3 linked regions of the Neodiprion lecontei genome follow. The protein of the gene in region 1 purifies or fractionates together with the protein of each later gene. This does not show direct contact. Links are inferred from orthologs where the notes say so. Each region holds a gene or a part of one and is shown in the gene's direction. Other genes may lie near its edges.

Evidence for each region.
Region 2: the proteins of replication protein A 32 kDa subunit (region 1) and zinc finger-containing ubiquitin peptidase 1 purify together in Homo sapiens (affinity purification with western blotting; 3 studies listed by BioGRID, with this or other methods). This does not show direct contact. The link is inferred for Neodiprion lecontei from reciprocal best matches to the Homo sapiens genes RPA2 and ZUP1.
Region 3: the proteins of replication protein A 32 kDa subunit (region 1) and DNA topoisomerase 3-alpha purify together in Homo sapiens (affinity purification with mass spectrometry; 4 studies listed by BioGRID and IntAct, with this or other methods). This does not show direct contact. The link is inferred for Neodiprion lecontei from reciprocal best matches to the Homo sapiens genes RPA2 and TOP3A.

Annotation. Positions count from the first base shown.
Region 1 is NC_060262.1:40,665,835-40,669,156, forward strand, and holds replication protein A 32 kDa subunit, read left to right. Parts: upstream 1-1,406; 5' UTR 1,407-1,545; coding exon 1,546-2,322; 3' UTR 2,323-2,760; downstream 2,761-3,322. Other genes in the region: F-box only protein 22, read right to left, coding at 1-217, 554-741, 985-1,166; zinc finger MYND domain-containing protein 10, read left to right, coding at 3,134-3,231. UniProt on the Homo sapiens protein: As part of the heterotrimeric replication protein A complex (RPA/RP-A), binds and stabilizes single-stranded DNA intermediates that form during DNA replication or upon DNA stress.
Region 2 is NC_060260.1:34,343,313-34,347,069, reverse strand, and holds the start of zinc finger-containing ubiquitin peptidase 1, read left to right. Parts: upstream 1-1,045; 5' UTR 1,046-1,518; intron 1,519-2,354; 5' UTR 2,355-2,387; coding exon 2,388-2,593; intron 2,594-2,933; exon of another isoform or gene 2,934-3,166; coding exon of another isoform or gene 3,167-3,207; exon of another isoform or gene 3,208-3,295; intron 3,296-3,364; coding exon 3,365-3,594; intron 3,595-3,663; coding exon 3,664-3,757. UniProt on the Homo sapiens protein: Deubiquitinase with endodeubiquitinase activity that specifically interacts with and cleaves 'Lys-63'-linked long polyubiquitin chains. Shows only weak activity against 'Lys-11' and 'Lys-48'-linked chains.
Region 3 is NC_060263.1:2,645,190-2,648,946, forward strand, and holds the start of DNA topoisomerase 3-alpha, read left to right. Parts: upstream 1-1,098; 5' UTR 1,099-1,223; coding exon 1,224-1,442; intron 1,443-1,577; coding exon 1,578-1,921; intron 1,922-2,001; coding exon 2,002-2,120; intron 2,121-2,201; coding exon 2,202-2,548; intron 2,549-2,620; coding exon 2,621-2,909; intron 2,910-3,083; coding exon 3,084-3,582; intron 3,583-3,659; coding exon 3,660-3,757. Other genes in the region: uncharacterized protein LOC107225596, read right to left, coding at 130-532, 773-840. UniProt on the Homo sapiens protein: Releases the supercoiling and torsional tension of DNA introduced during the DNA replication and transcription by transiently cleaving and rejoining one strand of the DNA duplex.

The DNA of each region.
Region 1 (3,322 bases):
CTTGCTAATTTGTTACAAGATTTAGGATTTTGCGTTGAATCAAATTTGAGGTAGTCCAATTTTGTGGTATGAAAGTATTTGATTTTCACATCAGGAATCTCAGGGAAGAATATACTGGATAGACCTCTAGCTTTGTTTTCCACTTCATCATAAATAGTGCCACTGTTTGTCAATGTTATATAATCAGTTTGAGGAGGCAAATAATTACACAAACAATCTGAAAAATTTGAATGTCAGTCAAACTAGAAAACGAAGATGAATGACGAATCTCATTATCGATGAAATTGTTTTAACACACTTGATATTACTCGATATTTCAAAGTTCTTGACAAGTATTATTTTCAATTTCCCATTTCTTTGCAGCTTGACAACTTATCAAACACAATGCTCAAGCAATTGAGTTCTAATGAAAAAATATGGGAAAAAAACAAATTATTGGGAAGGTGAGCAAATACTAAGTATTTCAAATTTTAGAGCTTCACCAGACTTTACTTTCTCTCGTTTTCTAGATAGCTTGCGTCGATGTGATGTTACGTTAAGCCTCACACAGTACCTGGCTGCCAAATTTGACGTCTAGTATGAAAGCCATTAAACACCATTCCAACACTTGGCTGGATGAACAATTTGTCCACAACATATTTTGGATCGGTAATTTTTTTCGACTCAGTATTAGGTTCAAGCAAAAAATGTTGTGGTTTCAGTCGAGTGTGAATTTCTTTTTCGGCAGCTTCATTCCAGGATCTGAAACATATCGGTTCGGTGAGGGGTAGTTCATTTTTATTTATTACCTGGAGAACCAAGTTAAAAAACTAACTATTCTTAACTGTTCTCGTTTTTTAAATAATGGAACAAAAAAACGTGGCTCGACCGCAAGAGGCAGTTAAAATAAATTGTTGAAGAACCAGTTCCACAATGGAGAGAATCGTTGGATGTGGAATATTTGGCCGCTAGAACACATTACAGAACGACCAAATTTTTTACTACCTGCAAACCATAGCCGCCCGAGTTAAATCCGTAATATTAAAATATTCTAGCATCAGTCGGAGTACGTCGTAGGTTATGCGCTCTCTACAATTTACACCATCCACATCGGTGTCAACATCCTTATTTTCTTCTCGATTAGATTGTCTCCTCTTCCGTGTCTTCCTTTTCGACACATTTTCCATGGCTACTCTTTTCAATTATTCCACGATAACAGTTTCTGTTTACAATATGCCAGAGGCCTTCTACCGTACTCAAACACAAAGAATCAATAAAGGCGACCGACAGCTGTGCGGTCTTCTCATGCATTTACGTGCGCTGATGCACTCCTTATCCATGAATGCAACTGCAATACGCATGCGCCAAGTGTTTGGCAGATGGCGCCACCAGCTTGTCTCGCGCAAACGCAAACGCAGAAATAAACATTTGAGGATTGCCATTGAATGGAAATCCCGCCAAACAGTAGACAGCGCGCAGTTTGGTGAACCTGAAAAAGCGTGTTGTTGCGATTTGAGGTTAAGTTGTGACCTTAGTTCTTCGTTATAAGAGTTAACAGAGTTGACAATGTGGGGCGAAAAAGCGTTTGCAAATGATGGGGGTGGGTACTTTAACTCTTCGGAGGTGTCTTCGCCGGCGGGGAACGCGAAACGAGGAGTGAAACGGGCCCAGAACATCGTTCCGGTGATGATGAAACACTTGATCGACAGCCCGGAGGAACTGCAAATCTGGGGTACGGACGTGCAGATAATAACGACCGTTGGTATCATCCGACGGATCGACCCTTCGGCGACGAAGATAACCTACGACATAGAGGACGAAACCGGGACGATAACGGCCTTCCACTGGATAGAGGCAGACAAACCCCCGCAGGAATCGGTCATCGAGGTGAACACCTACGTCCGGGTCTTCGGCTCGCTCCGCGAGCAGCACCAGAAGAAGCACATTCTGATTATGAAAATATGGCCGATAACGGACCTGAACGAACTGACCCTGCACCTCCTGGAGACGATATACGTCGACCTGAAGGGGGAGAAATTCGCTGGAGCCGGCAACATGGACGCGATCGGCATCCCGGACTCGAATCAACCTGTCGGACTGCAGAATTCGCTGATGGATTCCTCGATAATGGGAGCGAGCCTTGGCGGCATGACGAACGACCAGAAAGCCGTCTTCAAGATAATACAATCCGAAAACGACACGCCGAGCGGCATCGAGAGGGATCAAATCAAGGCGCGGGTGCAGCCGCATATCCGTCCTCAGGTCGACGATATACTCGACTTCCTGGCCGGGGAAGGACACATTTACACAACGCTTACCGACGATCACTTCAAAACCACGTAAACATGGATCATTCAGCGTCGATTTGTTTAAATTTTTCGGGTACTTATAGATCGAGTACCTTTGCCCTCCTCTTTTTTAAAGGAAGATGTTATGATACAGTACAATTACGTCAGTTAGATTAAAATTATTCCATTACCAGTCTATTTTTTATGAACCGCAAAATGATGAGAAAACAAAAATTGTAAATCAAAAAAAAAAAAAAAAAATACAGCACGCATTACATTTTTTGTGCATATTATTCCATGTTGTAACGTTTATACGCGTAATGCGTTGCCGATATATGTAATATGAATATCATACATATTTTTCTCAGCTTCTCGCTAGAAGTATGTTACTGTTTAGTCTTATGTTAATCTGTGTTCACTCTTTTGTATATTCGTAAAAGCCGTTATTCCAAAGATTAATAAAATGAAGCAAGGTTTTTTCTTACACACCGTATGTATACGCCTTATATCAGTTTCCATCTGCGCTCACAAGTTGTCTGCAAACAAGATGATTTTTATTCGGCTAACTTGTAATATGTTGAACTTCTTGAAGATAATATACTTTAGTATACATTCGTAAATTGTTGTTGCTTCATTCGGAATTCGAACCTCGATAGTAATCGGTATTTTCTATCCAACACCAATTATTTTTAATTTAAAATACTCTTTCAAATCGAACTAAACTGATTGCTCAAGCCAGCTGCCAATCGAATTTACGCGGGATTACGCGTGATACGAAAATTATTTACAAATGGCCGATGATGTCAGTAGAGCGTGTGATCAGTTTGAATAAGCACTGAAGTTTTCAATTCTGTGATGTATGTAATATGACGGAACGAACGGATTACATTATAACACCATGGGAAATAGAAATTCACGTACAAGATTTACAGCCTTCAAATATCGACGACATTGGTACTAAACGGTAAATTATTTTCTTATCCCAAGAAAATTCGATCATTTCGTACAAAGTATCTTGCGCTCTATATTTTCTCATACGGCATACAATATTGCGA
Region 2 (3,757 bases), on another chromosome or scaffold:
GGGTTCGATGTTTACGACCTATAAACGCTGCGGAGCCGACGGACTTACGGTGTCCCTTGAGAATCATACGCGGCACTCGACAGTTTTGTACGTGCAAGACGTCGTTTGGAATTGAATTCCTACGGGATGGAAAATATTCTGCGAAAACACGAGGTTGGCAGTCGATCGTTACAAGTTCAAGTAGCCACAAATTCTACGTGACTTGAAAAATGTATATTTTATTTTTCAAGCCTTTTCGCGGAAAAGAGTCTTGGGAGAACGTTTAACAGATGCTTCAACTTGGCTTTCAACACGCAAACACATTTCCTTCATTTTTCTGCGTTCGAAACTGCACTTGTCAAGAGTGCACCGAAAACCACGTGAAGTGATAAAAACATTCGCGTACAAAACCACCCTGCATCACGGGAGTAATATTAATTTACTGTAAAAATTCCGCAATTCCGTGCGCTGACAAAGTTTTTCCACCATTGTTGCTTACCCTAGTTATATAAAGGGTCGTCGAATCGTCAGGTCTAGACTTTGACCGCATGGCTCGTGGCTTCGCAAAGACGTGCAAAGAATGTTCTGACTTACAGATAGGAGAAGTTTTGCTCCGCGGATGGTTACAATTCAGTCTGGATGATCGATACGAAACCCTCTACTATTCGCGTGAACAGCTGTCGTGACTATCTTTCGTTGATTCAAATCACGGTAGAAACTAATGCGACGTAATACAGCAAGGGACGTTGATCTCACCGGTGTGATTTGTTTGTAAACGGAGTTCAGGGTTACATCCGGTGAATAACGTAGCGATTTGTTAGAGCCTGGCGAAATCGATCGAAATTCATAAACCTCAAGAGTAAACAATATCGGAGAGTGTCGTCGGTTTACCGACGGGGTAAAAGCCGGAAGAGGGTGGTAGTCGTGACCTGAAAATGTAGTCAAGGGGTTGAGAGCCAGGCGCGATGTTTCCGCGTTTGCGCACCACGGCTTGGACCCCCTGTGTTCCAGTATCTCGAGGTCACGTTCGATCCGCTCCATGGCTGATACGCTCTTCCGCATAAACAGCCATGTATAATACAGCCATGCATATACCGCATTTTCGTGCCAAGCGTGCATTATGCCAGTTGTAACTACACCTGCGAGTAACGACGACTGCACCCCTTCCAAGGCCCATGCCTTGAAAACTGTCAAAGAACCGTACGTGTGACGCGAGGTGCCATCGCGTCGTCGCCAAGGGGCTTTCTTCAGTTTCTTTATCCTCCCGTAAGCCATGAACCCTGTCGTGAGAACAACATCCTTGTTCCGCGGAGCGAGTGAAACGCCAGCCTTCTAAGAAGCGCGACCGTTCCGAGGCTGGGGGAAACGGGAACAGTGGCTAAAACGTAGCGCCGTGCGCGTTGGGGGTAGAAAATTTCGCATATGGAGGAAGTCAGGGCACCGTGTTAGGCAACCAAGCCTACACGGAACCCGACCCGTGTTGCATAATATCGCTTTTCTCGTAGACAGTTCCGTCGCGTCCAGTGCCAATCCGTGCAAGTAAGTGATCTTTAATTAACACCTTGCGGTTCCCACGCCCGAAATGGGTCATCCTAGACAAATAGACCCTGCTCCACTTCCTGTTCTCAACCCACACTCTGCCCTAGATACGGTCAATTGTAGTCGAGATACACGGTGCGGTTCACATATTTTCGCGCATAACCGTTGCCGGGATTAATTATTTGCCCAGTGTCGTCTTCGTGGATTTGGATTATTCCGAGTGATAATTACCTTCGTTACTCGTCGCCTTTCGGCCGAGATTCAATTGATTCGTGACCCGTCGTCCAAGTGGGAATAATCGGTGTTGTGTACGATATGCGGTAGCAACGCCTGCAGTCCATGGGCGGTTATTTCAAACCGAAAATATCCCGCGAGTTACACGTCGTTGTATGCTTACTTCCAAGGTATTACCGGGAATAGCGCGTTAATCGCTCTTCCTCGCGTTGGAAAAATTTTCGGTTTAGAATGCCCGCGGACTGTGTTTCTAGCGATTTTCAACGGAAGTTTAAGATTAAACATTTACCGACTAATACACCGCTCGTGAATCGGCTTCTATTATTTTCATTTGTTCAATAAATCTCAAAGAATCAAATTTTCTCTTGCGGAACACCATAATTTATCTACTTTCAACCGGTTTGTAATATATTTCAATCAAAAAGTGTAATTATTATACTCATTTAACGATATTCATTTTTCACATTCTTTCATACACTGAACACTTAAGATCGTTACTTCTTCTCAAGAATACAACAGTGAATCAATAAATTGTTCACATACTTGGTATTTTGCTTAACATAAATGTCAAAAAACAATAACGTCAAATTCATATCAAACAGATTTATAGAGCGAATAATATTCAAAATATCGACATGGCATCGAGTAAACCGTTGGAAATGAGCTACACGTGCGAAATTTGCGGTCTGGAAGGCTTCAACGATGAGGAAATGAGATCGCACATGGTAGTCTATCATCTTCAAGGAGCAGCTAGCTGCCCTTTTTGTGACCTCGGTGAGGTTTCACCTGCCGAAATGCTCGTCCACGTGAACAGCGCTCACCTAGACTACTTAACTCCAAGGTATTTTTTTACAATTTTCATACTGTAAAATAAATCTCCGAATTCGATACTTATAACGTTTAATCAATGGTTTAGATTCAGACAGAATAAAAATGCAGTCTACCGCCACAAATAAATATAATTCGCCATTTGAATTAACATTCAAATAATTTTTAATGCTTGTTACCATACGTAGCACAACGGATCAGCAACTGATATAAATCACTGTCAGATGATCTAACATTTTGTAAGTTGATATGTTTTGGAGCACGTATCCCCGATCTTATTAAAGCTAATCGCATAAAACGTTTGTCGACCGTAATAAATCGTTTAAATACGTTAGCGCCAAGTAAAAGGATGGATAAATTCTTCTCATCAAGCAGGCTTAATCTGCTATCCAATCGTGTTACAACCTTGCCAACCTTGATCTGCAAAAGATCAGCTGTTCGATATTTCGAATTAGGCCTAGAGTTGGGAACTAAATATATGTGGCAGTTGCGGCATGTAGTTGTGTCATGAGGAGTAACCTCGTTGGATCGCTTGTCTAAAATTTCGTTGATCAAGTAAAAGGCGCAATTCTAACCACACTTCGTGATGTTGAACACGTGTAACGGTCGTTTGACCAAAAGAAAACGGTAAAAATTCTCAACCACTGTGCAATTTTCATACGTCAACTTATTGCCGAGTCAAACGCGTAGCGAGCTATTTGCTGCGAGACTGAAGTTGGGCGTTAAATCGAGTAATCACGATTTATGATACGCGAACCGGTATTAATTGATCAAATGTTTCCAGCACCCCGGAGAACGATATGATGGCCTTCATCGACGACGATCCTACAACGGACAGTGATCGTTATGACGAATGCCGAGGGCCTTCCCCGCCAGCATCTCCGTACGCCCCGCACCTCCAAAACGGCTGGGGTTCTCCGCCACCCTCCAAGCAATTGCAGGAAGAGCGGAAATCCAGCAGTTCAAATCTAAATAATAATATAAACAACAACAACAACAGTAGCATTGTTAACGGTAGGTCTGCTTACTTTTGCCTTCTTCAATCACGGTGCAAACGCATCTTGAAACGTTCTTGCGTTTCAGTACCCGAGGGTGCCGCTGGTCATGGTTCTCCTCTTCGTTCTGGCCTGAACCTTCAGCTTCGTTCACATGCTTCACCTAGGCCACCCGTACAGGA
Region 3 (3,757 bases), on another chromosome or scaffold:
AATATTGCCAAGCAATTTCCATGCCACAAAAGAAGCACTCGTTTATTTATACTAACAGCTAGAGCGGAACTCAATTTTTCGGACATACAATCGAAGTGTAGGATTAAATGAAACTAAATACGGCAGACACTATTTGTCCATTTTTTGTTTTTCGATTTCCCTCAATCTCGCCTCTATTTCTTTTGTATCAAGATTACGTTCCCGATTAAACTTTAGGACAGCTCTTAATTGAACTTCTTCTAGACCCTCTATGTGATCATAAAGCGTTAAATCAAAGTGTCTATCGATGTCGCTTTCTTCCCTTAGAATGCCGAAATATATAAGAAACGCAGCTGTGCTCGCAATCACAACGTACATCTGGTACCAAGGTTCATCCGATATTTTTCCCGTTCTTGATTTCATAGCTATCCAAGTATCAGCCTTACTACCGGTGAATCGCAATGGCTCTTCATATTGTTCCTCATTTTTGTAATCCTTTGATTTATTTGAAACGTTGGCCAAGGTTCTCCAACCTATCGGTGTCGATAGTTTTCTGCAAGTAAAGTTAAATCCAGTTATTCTAGTATCACGAACTGATATTAATGGTTGCAGGACAATATTGCGTATTATGGTGCAATAAACGGGTAGACAAGAAGCGACCTAACCTCAAATAGAAATGGGTTTTCTTTTTATTGTATAGCTGATTAATCTAAAGAGGTTGAAAGACGAAAAAGCGAATCACAACTACAATAAAATATAGCTTACTTTAAGCAGTGTGAAAAATCTACGTTACCTTGGCGTTAGTAAATTACATTCGGAGAAAATTGTTCCAGCAATTCTGCGCAGCATAGCAGACGCCATGATTCTGGAGTTCTACAGAGTTCTACATAACCGAAAACAAATGTCAACACACACTTTCGATTTATTTTATAATTTATTTTAAGTTAATATTAATTTGAAAAAGTATGCTTTAGGTTTACGTAAATTCACTAAGCTTCGGAGTTTTTTTCACTCATGTTTTCTACTTTTCAGTATACCGCAACTGCTTAATGCATTTTGTATTACAAACAAAGATCAACCGGCTAGTTTTTGGTGAGTAGAATGTGAACAAAACACTTCTCTAATCACCGAGTATTTTTGGTTAATTCCAAACGATTGATTGCGGCAATAATCTAATCTTATCAAGTCAAAAGTATTTCGTTAACGTCTATTTCTTCTTTATTTCTTCGCTTTTACTTGTCCGCATGAAATTTACATCGAAAATTACGAAGATAAAGGTTAAGAAATATTTGTTTATAGATTTAAGAACTACATGGATTCAACTGGCCAAATTAAGTAGCAGTGATACTGTCAAAGAGCTGTACAATAGCGGTAAAAACGTCATGAAGGTGTTGAATGTTGCTGAAAAAAATGACGCAGCTAAAGGTATAGCTGGCTATCTTTCACGTGGGTCTTCGCATCGGGTAACTATTGGTTTCTATTTTGTTTTTTCATCTGTAAAATTCACAACACCACTTGCTGCCAAACTCTGAAATATCGTAACTGGTCAGATAAACAATTAACACGCCAATAGTACTAGTAAAGTCAATTATTTTCAGCGAGAAGGACTATCAGTATATAACAAGATCTACGAATTTGATACCCAGCTATGGGGCCAGCAGTGCAAAATGATAATGACGTCGGTATCTGGTCACCTGTTGAATCATGAATTTGTCGGAGGATATCGTAATTGGCAGGGATGTAATCCACTATCTCTATTTGAAGCACCTGTGGTTAAGCAGTGCGAGGAGAATTTTATGAAAATAAAAAAAACCTTAGAGAGGGAGGCTAAGGGTTGCCAGGCACTGATTATATGGACAGATTGCGATCGAGAGGGTGAAAACATAGGCTTTGAAGTTATACAAGTTTGCCAAGCTGTGAAGCCCACCATTAAGATATACCGGTAGTTATTGGCAAGGTCAAAACTGTCAATAAATGTTACTACCAGTTCGAAGTATATCTTTACTTGGCTATTTTTTTCAGAGCAAAATTTTCGGAAATAACTGCTCCATCGGTGACTCGAGCACTTCATAATTTAGGAATACCGAACAAAGCCATAAGCGATGCTGTCGACGTTAGGAGCGAATTGGACTTGAGAATAGGTAATTTAATTGTTTAATTAATCAAACGATGATATGTGGCTAGAGTTGTATTGGTTAAATATGTCAACGTTATCCCAACAGGAGCTGCATTTACACGATTTCAAACAATGAGACTTCAAAAGGTTTTTCCACAAACGCTAGCTGAGATGTTAATCAGCTATGGCAGCTGCCAGTTTCCAACCCTGGGTTTTGTAGTAGAGAGGTTTCTCGCAATTGAAAATTTCAAGTCAGAGCCATTTTGGAAAATCAAAGTCACGGACGATCGTGATGGAATATTGGTGGAATTTAGATGGGACAGAAATCGTTTGTTTGAACGCCTTCCGTGCCAGATATTTCTGGACATGTGTTTAGAATCTCCTACTGCAACTGTAGAAAAAGTTACGTGCAAACCGAAAAGCAAATGGAGACCGCTGCCATTGGACACCGTCGTTAGTACAACTGATTTATGTAAATTATTATTATATGACAACCGATACACTTCAATTGTATTAATTTTATAGGAATTAGCCAAATTGGGTTCACGCAAGTTGAAACTAAACGCAAAGGAGACAATGAAAATAGCAGAGAAACTGTACACTCAAGGTATTATCAGCTACCCTCGTACAGAAACTAACATTTTTCCCAAGGAACTCAATCTTGTGCCACTAGTCGAACATCAATCTGCAAGTCCACAGTGGGGACCGTTTGCACAACAAATACTGCAAAACGGGCCTTTCCCACGTCAAGGGAAAAAAAATGATGGAGCTCACCCTCCGATTCATCCTACGAAGTACATTGCTACTTTAGGAGGTATGTTACAAAACTTTATCAACTTTACTATTAGTCTAGACCGTAATCATGGTTTGAAAATTTCAAAAATTTTGGAAAACGATCAATTTTCCCAAAAATTTGTAAAAATTTCCGCTTGGAGTAATTTTCTGACTGTATAACAATTTTTTAAATCAAGAATCCACTTTATTACAGGCAATGAGGCTCGTGTATACGAGTTTATAGTTCGTCATTTTTTGGCCTGTATATCAAAGGATGCAGAAGGTCAAGAGACCATTGTTCACATTGATATTGCGCAGGAAAAATTTATAGCAAGTGGTCTTCATATAATTGCCAAAAATTACTTAGAAGTGTACCCGTACGAAACGTGGAATGCAAAAGAAATCCATGCATACGAAGAGGGACAAACTTTCAGACCCACTGGCATTGAAATGGTTGATGGGGAAACTTCACCTCCAAACTTGCTAACAGAAGCTGACCTAATTGCTTTAATGGATAAGCACGGAATTGGCACTGATGCAACTCACGCTGAACATATCGAGAAAATAAAATCAAGGCAATACGTGGGCCTGAAGGATCAAAAGTATTTCATTCCCGGAAAGCTCGGGATTGGATTGGTCATGGGCTACGACAGTATGGGCTTTCATATGTCCAAACCACACCTCAGAGCAGGACTCGAAAACGATTTAAAGCTGTGGGTGAAATATCAACTAGTTATGAAATAAAATATCATTATAATGAAATAAAAGAGAAATAAATAATTTCTTTCAGAATATGCGACGGTGTGAAACAGCCAGCGGATGTTTTGCAGGATCAAATATCCAGGTATAAAACAGTATTCACAGCAACGTTACGGCAGGCTGGATTAA